Nothobranchius furzeri: one gene and its partner. The protein of the gene in region 1 purifies or fractionates together with the protein of each later gene. This does not show direct contact. Links are inferred from orthologs where the notes say so. Each region holds a gene or a part of one and is shown on either strand. Other genes may lie near its edges.

Region 1 (4,034 bases):
TTTCCAGAATTTTAGAGATAAAGGGCAATTTAGAAATGAGTCTGAAAAAATAAGACACATCTGTGCTTCCTTTTAACTTCTTGGAAATGTAATTTTGCTTTTTTTCAAATATTTTTGTAAACATTTCTTTTTGATTTTTCTCAACAGGCCCTTTGATTCTAAAAATCCTTTCCTGGCTACAGTCACAGTCAACCGCAGGCTCAACAAAGGTGGTGACAGACACCTTATGCACCTAGAGTTGGATATCACCGGCTCCAAGATCAGGTGGGGCTGGTTGGATCTGTGTTTAAGGTCCTTGGTGTCATGAGGCCAGAGGGATGAATCACGCTCCGTTATCTCACTGACTGCCAAAGTCTAAATCTGTCATGTTCTGTGGTTTCAGATACGAGTCTGGAGACCACGTTGCCGTTTTCCCTACAAATGACTCAGCTCTAGTGAACAAGCTGGGAGAAGTCCTTGGCGTGGACCTTGATGTGGTTATCTCTCTTAATAACCTTGATGGTATTTCACTGACAACACAGAGCACCTTGACCTCATGAAGCCCCACCTCCAACATTCTCACGAAACCCTCACTTCCTATCTGAAGCAGCAGTTGTAAAAGCACGAGTTAGATACTGTAACACCTCTACTGTTTATTACTCCTGATGATGGATTCATCTTAAAGTCCAAACCATGATGTCTGACAGTATAATTGATAAAGTCCCTGTTTTTGCAGAGGAGTCCAACAAGAAGCATCCTTTCCCCTGTCCCACCACCTACCGCACGGCTCTCACTCACTACCTGGACATCACTAACCCTCCTCGCACCAACGTGTTGTACGAGCTGGCTCAGTACGCGTCCGACCCAAAAGATCAGGAGAACATGAGGAAGATGGCATCGTCATCCCCTGAGGGGAAAGTAAGCACCAACATGGAACTCCAGGAGGATTTTGACACAAACACTTTAACTGGGTTCACTTTTAACTCGACTCCTGTTGGTTTACAGTCTCTCTACCAGAACTGGGTGTTGGACGCTTGTAGAAACATCCTCGCCATCTTGGAGGACATGCCCTCTCTAAAGCCTCCCATCGACCACCTATGTGAGCTGCTGCCTCGTCTCCAGGCTCGCTACTACTCCATCGCCTCCTCCTCTAAAGTAACAACCCTTTAAGGAATTCAGTCTGATGGATTAGTGGTGTTGTGTAATGAGCTCGCCGTAACTCTGGCCTGTCGTGCAGGTTCATCCCAACAGCATTCACATCTGCGCCGTGGTGGTGGAGTACCAGACCAAGACGGGCCGCGTCAATAAAGGAGTCGCAACCAACTGGCTGAAAAACAAACTCGTCAACGGCCACAAGTCGACCGTTCCCATGTACATCCGCAAGTCTCAGTTCCGCCTGCCGTTCAAGGCCTCAAACCCGGTGATCATGATCGGTCCTGGAACCGGAATCGCTCCCTTCATGGGCTTCATCCAGGAGAGGGGATGGCTCAAACAGCAAGGTGCCCTCAGATGCTTTGTGCCTGGACACGTTTAATTCTTAGTCCTGTGAACTTTGACACTGATGTGTACGTATGTTGGTGGCTGCTTTTCTTTCACAGGGAAGGAGGTTGGAGAGACAGTGATGTTTTTTGGCTGTAGACACAAGAACGAGGACTATATTTACCAGGAGGAGCTGGAGGACGCAGAGAAGAACAAAGTCTTAACGCAGCTCAATGTGGCTTTCTCCAGAGACCAGGATCACAAGGTAAAGGTCTCAATCTGAATGAATAAACTCATTGTTATAGCAATGCAACATTTTCGCTCTGAGGTGCATTTATTTTTCATTTTCTTAATGAAAAGCACAAGTTTCTGTCCTGAAGGATTTTCCTTGCCATGTTAACTCTTGAATAAAGTTCTTTTTTCTTTTCTGCTTTCCAAACTAAAGGTGTACGTGCAGCATCACCTGAAGAAAAGCAAGGAACCCATCTGGAAACTAATTCACTCAGAAAACGCTCACATCTACATCTGCGGGTAATTTTCTTATCAGAAATAAATTATTAAAACTGTCATTTATCTATAAGAACCTTCTTCAACGATTAATTACAAACGTTTGTCTTTGGGTTTGGGGCGCCACCTAGTGGAGGAGGAAACGAAGTTTAACTTTCAGCTTGAATTCGGTGTAATTTTGAAACATAATTTTATTTTAATGAATTTCCACATTAAATATGACTAAAGGTTCATTTCATTTTCTTTGTTAGTGATGCCAGAAATATGGCTAAAGATGTTCAGCTGGCTTTCTACGAGATTGCAGAGGAAGTTGGAGGCATGACACGCACCCAGGCCACAGACTACGTAAAGAAACTGATGACCAAGGGACGCTACTCGCAAGACGTGTGGAGTTAAATGGCCTTTTCACTACTTTACTGGTGGTTAGTTTTAAAGTTTGTCTTGTTACAAACTGAATTTAAACACGATAAACTCTTGTTTGTTCGCCCCTGATTCACAAGAGCTACACACAGGTAGCAGAGGATCATTTAAGCAAACCCTACCTCAGCAGGTTTTTAAGAGTCCCATTCAGAAAATTTCAAATCTGTTTTGTTTTTTTGTCCTTGTATGATTTGTGTCGTGCTCCTGAACCACCAGAGTCCCGTGGTCCTCGTTCTTAGCAACGCATTCTACTTTGATTCAAACATTAACTGGATGTTGGACTGCAGCTCTAAGAGTTTGCAGGTTTTAAAGTCAAATCCAAGTAGTTTTAAACTATTTTATGTATATATAAAAAACTAGCTTAAAAAATAAAGCAGCAGAAGATCCTATGTCTATTTCAGGTTTTATTTGTCATAATCAGACTGCCCTTTGAACACCACTACATGGCCTCGTTTCGTTTCAGTGGCATTGCGGAGGGTCGTGAGTTCCTGTTCCAGTGTGAACTAGAGGAGCTTCCACGGGAAAGCTGCTGACTTTAGTGTCCCTCTGAGCTCAAATGTACTTTAAAACATGTAGAATATATTTTTAAAAACTTCCTTGAAGAGTTTTTTGTAACTGGTTTTGTTTGCCTCCCAGGGAATTTTCTGAGTAGGTAGGAGAAAATCGTATGAGTAAACACAGACAGAAGGTTAAATCTGTTGGAGCCCTGTGGTGTTCGTCACATTTTAAAACATTTGAAATGACACTTCTGAAGCACAAAATGACTGCATCAAAGTATCTGACCGTAGAAGAATATAGATTCAGTTCTCTCATGAAGACCACATGTTCATGTTTTGTCTAATTGTACATGTGTACCTTAGGGTTTCCTTCCATCAGCCCGTCTGCTCTCCGTAGATTCATGAGAACTTTGGAGTGAGTTAACCAGCTGTGCCTTTTTAACTCTGCCTTATGTAAGAAGCCTCCAAACATGACAATACTTTGTAACTTCTGTTTTTATCTTCCATGTTTGCATTTTCATAGAAAATTAAATTCTTCCAAGACACTTTACCTGATGTTGTCACCTTTTTTGTTCAAGATGTAATGATTTGTATGAAGGTATGATTTTTGTAAATGAATAAAATTGGATGAATTTATTGGATCTGATATTTTTATAGAATATGAATGAGGGTTTTCAACCTTTAAGTGATTTAAAATTAAAATGGCCACAGCACAAAATATGTATAAAAATACAGATTCACTTGTGAACGTGTGGCAGAACCAGGAACCCTGAAGTTGGCTGGCAGCCAGTGAAGCTGGAGGAGAAGTGGGGTGATGTGTGTGTACTTTTGACTATTTGGTCAGAAGCCGAGCACAGGCACTCTGACCCACCTGTAGACAGTTCACGGAGGTTTTGCTCAGACAAGTGAAAAAAGAGTTCCAGTAGTCTTGAGTGTGAGGAGATGAAGGAGTGGATAACAGTCTCAAGTTCAGAGCGAGACAGAATGGAACTCATGTTCCTGAGATGGAAGAGCGGACAAGAGAACTGACACGAGAATCCAGGGTGAGAGCTGGGTCAAAGGTCACACCAAGATTTTTGGCAGAGGGTTTTTTGGTGTAAGAAGCAAGCTGACCAAGCGAATCCCCTGTAGGTACAATTGTAAAACGCAACA
Region 2 (4,321 bases), on another chromosome or scaffold:
GCCTGAGCTTCATCCATTCAGAACCACGCTGGTTTAGATTCTGAGTGGAAACTGCTTTATAAATCTGCACACACTGGACAGAAGCACTGTGCCTGAGGTATGGACTGTTTTGGGTTTACCACTTGGTTTGCACTGCTCAGTAAGTTTGTATATAGCAGTATTGTCTTAAACTGACAGTCAAGAAGATTGTACACAGATGTTTAAACTTTTACAAAACTCACCAGGTGTTTTCTATTTCACTGCTGCAGGAAGATGTAGATGATGTTTCACATAATAAAAGCTTCTAAGTGAATCTGTCTGTGATGTAGTTTTTTTATTCTTCAACATCGTGTGACATCAGAAACTAGACAGTTGCATGATTATATACATATGTGATGTGTCAAGTTGTCAAGGTAAAATCAGTCATTCAGTAAGGTTGCATTTAGTGAGGGATTGTTAAAAAGGTGGAAGAAATAATGAATGCAAAGGCAAATAAATGCTTGTGTTTTTATTACATTTTGTTTTAACACTAAAACTGCCCTGACCAGTCATTAGGACTGCTGCATTTAAAGGTCAATAAATTCACCAAACAGAAACGATGAAATTACTAAGAGACAGCCTGGTCGGATGCTGGAGATGCTCTTTGGCTGTAGAGTTTTCCAGTTAAGATATTCTGTCTTTATCTTGCCCTGAGAAATCAGCAAGAACTTCTCTGGCAGTGGAAATGAATGCCTCAGACAAAAATAGGTAAACATTATCACATCTCATCCGTAGTTTACATAATAAACATTAAAATCAGTTTTTAATAGAAATTTGTGCAGCTTTAGGAAAAGTCAGGGGGGCTGCATGTTTTTATTTGATAAAGTAATTCAACATCCAAATTACAACAGAACTAAGGTCTTTCTAGTGTTAAAGTTGAGTTTGAGCTCTAGTTTGGAGAGAATTGCAACCCTAATATTTTTGGTTTATTACAGTCATAAAGAATTTAAAATAAGAAAAATATTTTTGCCTGTATTTAGAATTAAAAATACGTTTTTAGAGATCAAATTATTATTTTTTTAGTAGAAACTTTTTACATAGCAACTTTCACAAAGATTTTTCAAATCACAATTTTTTAATCAAACAGCTGTAAAACAAGGATGAAATTTTAAAATAGAGCAAAAAGAGATTCTATTTTGTTTTATTTTGTAGTAACAACGGAAAAGTTATGACGCAGTTTCCGCTTCGTCAGCGTAGAGAACGTAAGTGCGTCATAATTGCGGGCCCCAGAATCAGAGAAGAGGACAGTAGTGACCGTGGAACAAGTTGTTCTTTGGCTCTGCCTGCGAGCTAATTTCGCCAATTTCCTGCTAAAAACTCTGTAAACGCTCGCTGCGGCGGTTTGGATGGTTCTATAAGGTAAATTAATCTTTAATGGACGGACGGAGGTTTTATTCACACTCAGCATTCGGTAATTTACAGTATCATCCTGCTTCCCGTCGTCATCCTGTCTTCCTGTTCTAGTAAATATTAGCTGTTTGGGTCAGTTGCTGTTTGTTTATGAACAGCTGGACCCGTCTAATTGCTGGTCCAGACCACTCTACCTGACAGCTAACTGTAAGGGTGTGTATGTGCTTCCTGGATGAATCCAGAACCTTTTCAGCGAATCATCAATGGAAATGATGCCAAGAGAAGCTAGTCTGTGCTAAGTGTTTTTATCTGTAGTTAACTGCTACAACAAAACATTAAATGTCCATTATTAATATAACAAGAGGAGTGAGTAAAGATGGGACAGAGGAGGATGTGCAGTCTTATTCATTTACTAATTACTTTGAGTGAGCCTATTTGGCTTAATTATTTCTTAATTTGCTGCACAAACTGAATAAAAACCCAGCAGAACTCTCACTGCGTTCATCTCACTTTCTGTTCTATTATATTAGTGCTTTTTGTGGTTAAATAACACTTTACACATCGGTTTAAATAGAAGTTACGTAATTAATTTTGTTTTTCCATCCTCTAGGTGTTTTCTGTCTCTTGAGGTCCAGCGGTGAAGCCTGTTGCCATGGCGTCTCCAGGGGGACAAGGAGGAGGGGCTTTGTCCACAAGAGGAGGCGGCGGGGCTCGGAGGATGAAATGGGCTCTGGAGCTGAGCGTAGGAAACACACGGTACTGAGAAGACCAGGCTGGAGCTTCAGAACTCTCCCTCTAGCTAAAGATGAACATTATTATCGGGATGGCGCTAGCACAGGAGTTGAGTGCCTGTCTCATAACTGAAAGGTTGTGGGATCGAGTCCCATTCAGTTTGTCGCTGTTGTATCCTTGGGCAAGAAACTTTCAGTTCTCTTTTGGCCTGCTGGTGGTGGCCAGAGGGACTGGTATGGTAGTCTTGCCTCTGTCAGTGTGCCCCAGGACAGCTGTGGCTACTAATGTAGCTCATCATCACCTGTGTGTGTGAGTGGGTGAATGACTACTGTGAAGCATCTTAGAGGGTTGTAGAACCCTATAGGTGCTATACAAATACGAGCCGTTTACCATTATTGGACTAACGTGTAAATATCTGTACAGGATGTGAGGGACGTTGTAGAAAACAGTTTGGTTTTTATTTTGTTGGAGGCTGCAGCTGGATGGAAAGTGTTTGTTTTGTTCCGATGTTCCCAGAGGCATGAGGCTCAAACTGTTAATAGTCCAGGGTGGGACGGGTCAGCTGGAGGCATGCAGGTTCTGCAGGCAGGGCAGGTTTCAGCTGATCACCTTCTCAGTGGATCTGATGTTACGCTGGAGCTTCTTTCCATCTGTGACATGATGATAGCACAGAGATGGTGGGGTAGACTCGATGATGTTCGAGTAGAAGTACACTGTGCCTTCAGGCTGAATCTGCCCAGCGGCTGCTGTTTTGTTAAGCTCCCAGGTGAGCGTGTGATAGATGATGGTTCCCAGAAAGTGATGGGTCTCCTAGAGTCTCAGTGATGGAGACAGGAGCAGGTGGACCTGTGATCTTCCTGAAGTGACTGTGTGGTGTTGGTCTGACATCTGCTGGCTCTCCGGTATCTCCTCTGGATCGAGCCCAGTGTGGGTTTGCTGTTTGAAGCGCTGGCTACTGATGAAATAGTGTGTGGTTAATCTAATCTGTAATCCACATATTCTGTATTCACTTGTTGCATCAAAATGATTCTTATTGTCCAAAAAAGCTTTATAATACCGTTAAGTGTTAAGTTGGGTCGGTACAAAGTTTGCACTCGGCCTTGCTTCTGTCATCTTGACAGATTATAAAGTACGTCCTCACGGCTGACGTGCTGTTTAACCTAGCTACAGCACCTGAACCCACACTGTCACACTTTAGTGGTCAATGTAGAAAACTACAGCAGAAATGAAAAGTCACAGTGAAGCCACTTTCAGGCAACTGCAGTGGTATCGGTTAGCGTAACAAGTACGAGTACATGGGATCGTATCGGTGAATCCCTGTTCTAAACTAGCATCAGAAAACGGCACCATCCTACGGTAGACAGAAGAAATCTGTTTTTCTGCTCGTAGCTGATCTGTTTCTGTTGCTTTTTGTGTCGTAGAAGCCGCAGCGATCGGCAGGGCGGTCAGGGAGACGTCGTCTACCCCATCGGTTACTCTGAAAAGCCTGTTCCTGACACCAGCATCCAGGAGACGGACAAAAACCTGGTGGAGAAGGTGAGGAACCGTTCTACTCGGCTCTAGTTAGATTTTTGTTTTACCTGTTTGTACCATTTTAAAGTTAAACCTCAGTAAATGCAGCCTTAAGTATAAAAACCCAGGAGAAACTAAGACGTTCTTCACTTCATACATCCCGTGATGTCACAGATCAGCCGATTGGTCTAAACATCTGTCTCCTTGTCCCTGTCCCACAGCGCTGCTGGGACGTGGCCCTCGGGCCCCTGAAGCAGATTCCCATGAACCTGTTCATCATGTACATGTCGGGCAACACCATCTCCATCTTCCCCATCATGATGGTCTGCATGATGGCCTGGAGGCCCATCCAGGCTCTGATGTCCATGTCTGCCAGTGAGTATCCACCAGTCTGGTGTTTGTCTTCGTCTCTAGGTTTTAGTCCTCACTGGTGTCCTCTTGTGTCCTCAGCCTTCAAGCTGCTGGAGAGCTCCAGCCAGCAGTGGCTACAGGGACTGGTCTACCTGATCGGGAACCTTCTGGGAGCAGCGCTGGCCATCTACAAGTGTCAGTCCATGGGACTGCTCCCCACGCACTCGTCTGATTGGTTAGCGTTCATCGAGCCGCCTCAGGTGAATAAACGCACCGCTGTCGCAGACGACATCGTTCAGTTCACTGTTCAGTTAAAATGTGATATGTTTGCTTTCCGTGTGAGTCGGCTTTCAGAGTT

Evidence for each region.
Region 2: the proteins of porb (region 1) and emc4 purify together in Homo sapiens (affinity purification with mass spectrometry; 3 studies listed by BioGRID and IntAct, with this or other methods). This does not show direct contact. The link is inferred for Nothobranchius furzeri from reciprocal best matches to the Homo sapiens genes POR and EMC4.

What each region holds. Positions count from the first base shown.
Region 1 is NC_091753.1:33,456,231-33,460,264, forward strand, and holds the end of porb (P450 (cytochrome) oxidoreductase b), read left to right. Parts: intron 1-147; coding exon 148-264; intron 265-382; coding exon 383-501; intron 502-715; coding exon 716-897; intron 898-984; coding exon 985-1,134; intron 1,135-1,216; coding exon 1,217-1,478; intron 1,479-1,577; coding exon 1,578-1,723; intron 1,724-1,903; coding exon 1,904-1,989; intron 1,990-2,216; coding exon 2,217-2,361; 3' UTR 2,362-3,222; downstream 3,223-4,034. UniProt on the Homo sapiens protein: This enzyme is required for electron transfer from NADP to cytochrome P450 in microsomes. It can also provide electron transfer to heme oxygenase and cytochrome B5.
Region 2 is NC_091742.1:80,310,439-80,314,759, forward strand, and holds the start of emc4 (ER membrane protein complex subunit 4), read left to right. Parts: upstream 1-1,213; 5' UTR 1,214-1,377; intron 1,378-1,978; 5' UTR 1,979-2,020; coding exon 2,021-2,124; intron 2,125-3,521; coding exon 3,522-3,636; intron 3,637-3,833; coding exon 3,834-3,987; intron 3,988-4,062; coding exon 4,063-4,223; intron 4,224-4,321. UniProt on the Homo sapiens protein: Part of the endoplasmic reticulum membrane protein complex (EMC) that enables the energy-independent insertion into endoplasmic reticulum membranes of newly synthesized membrane proteins.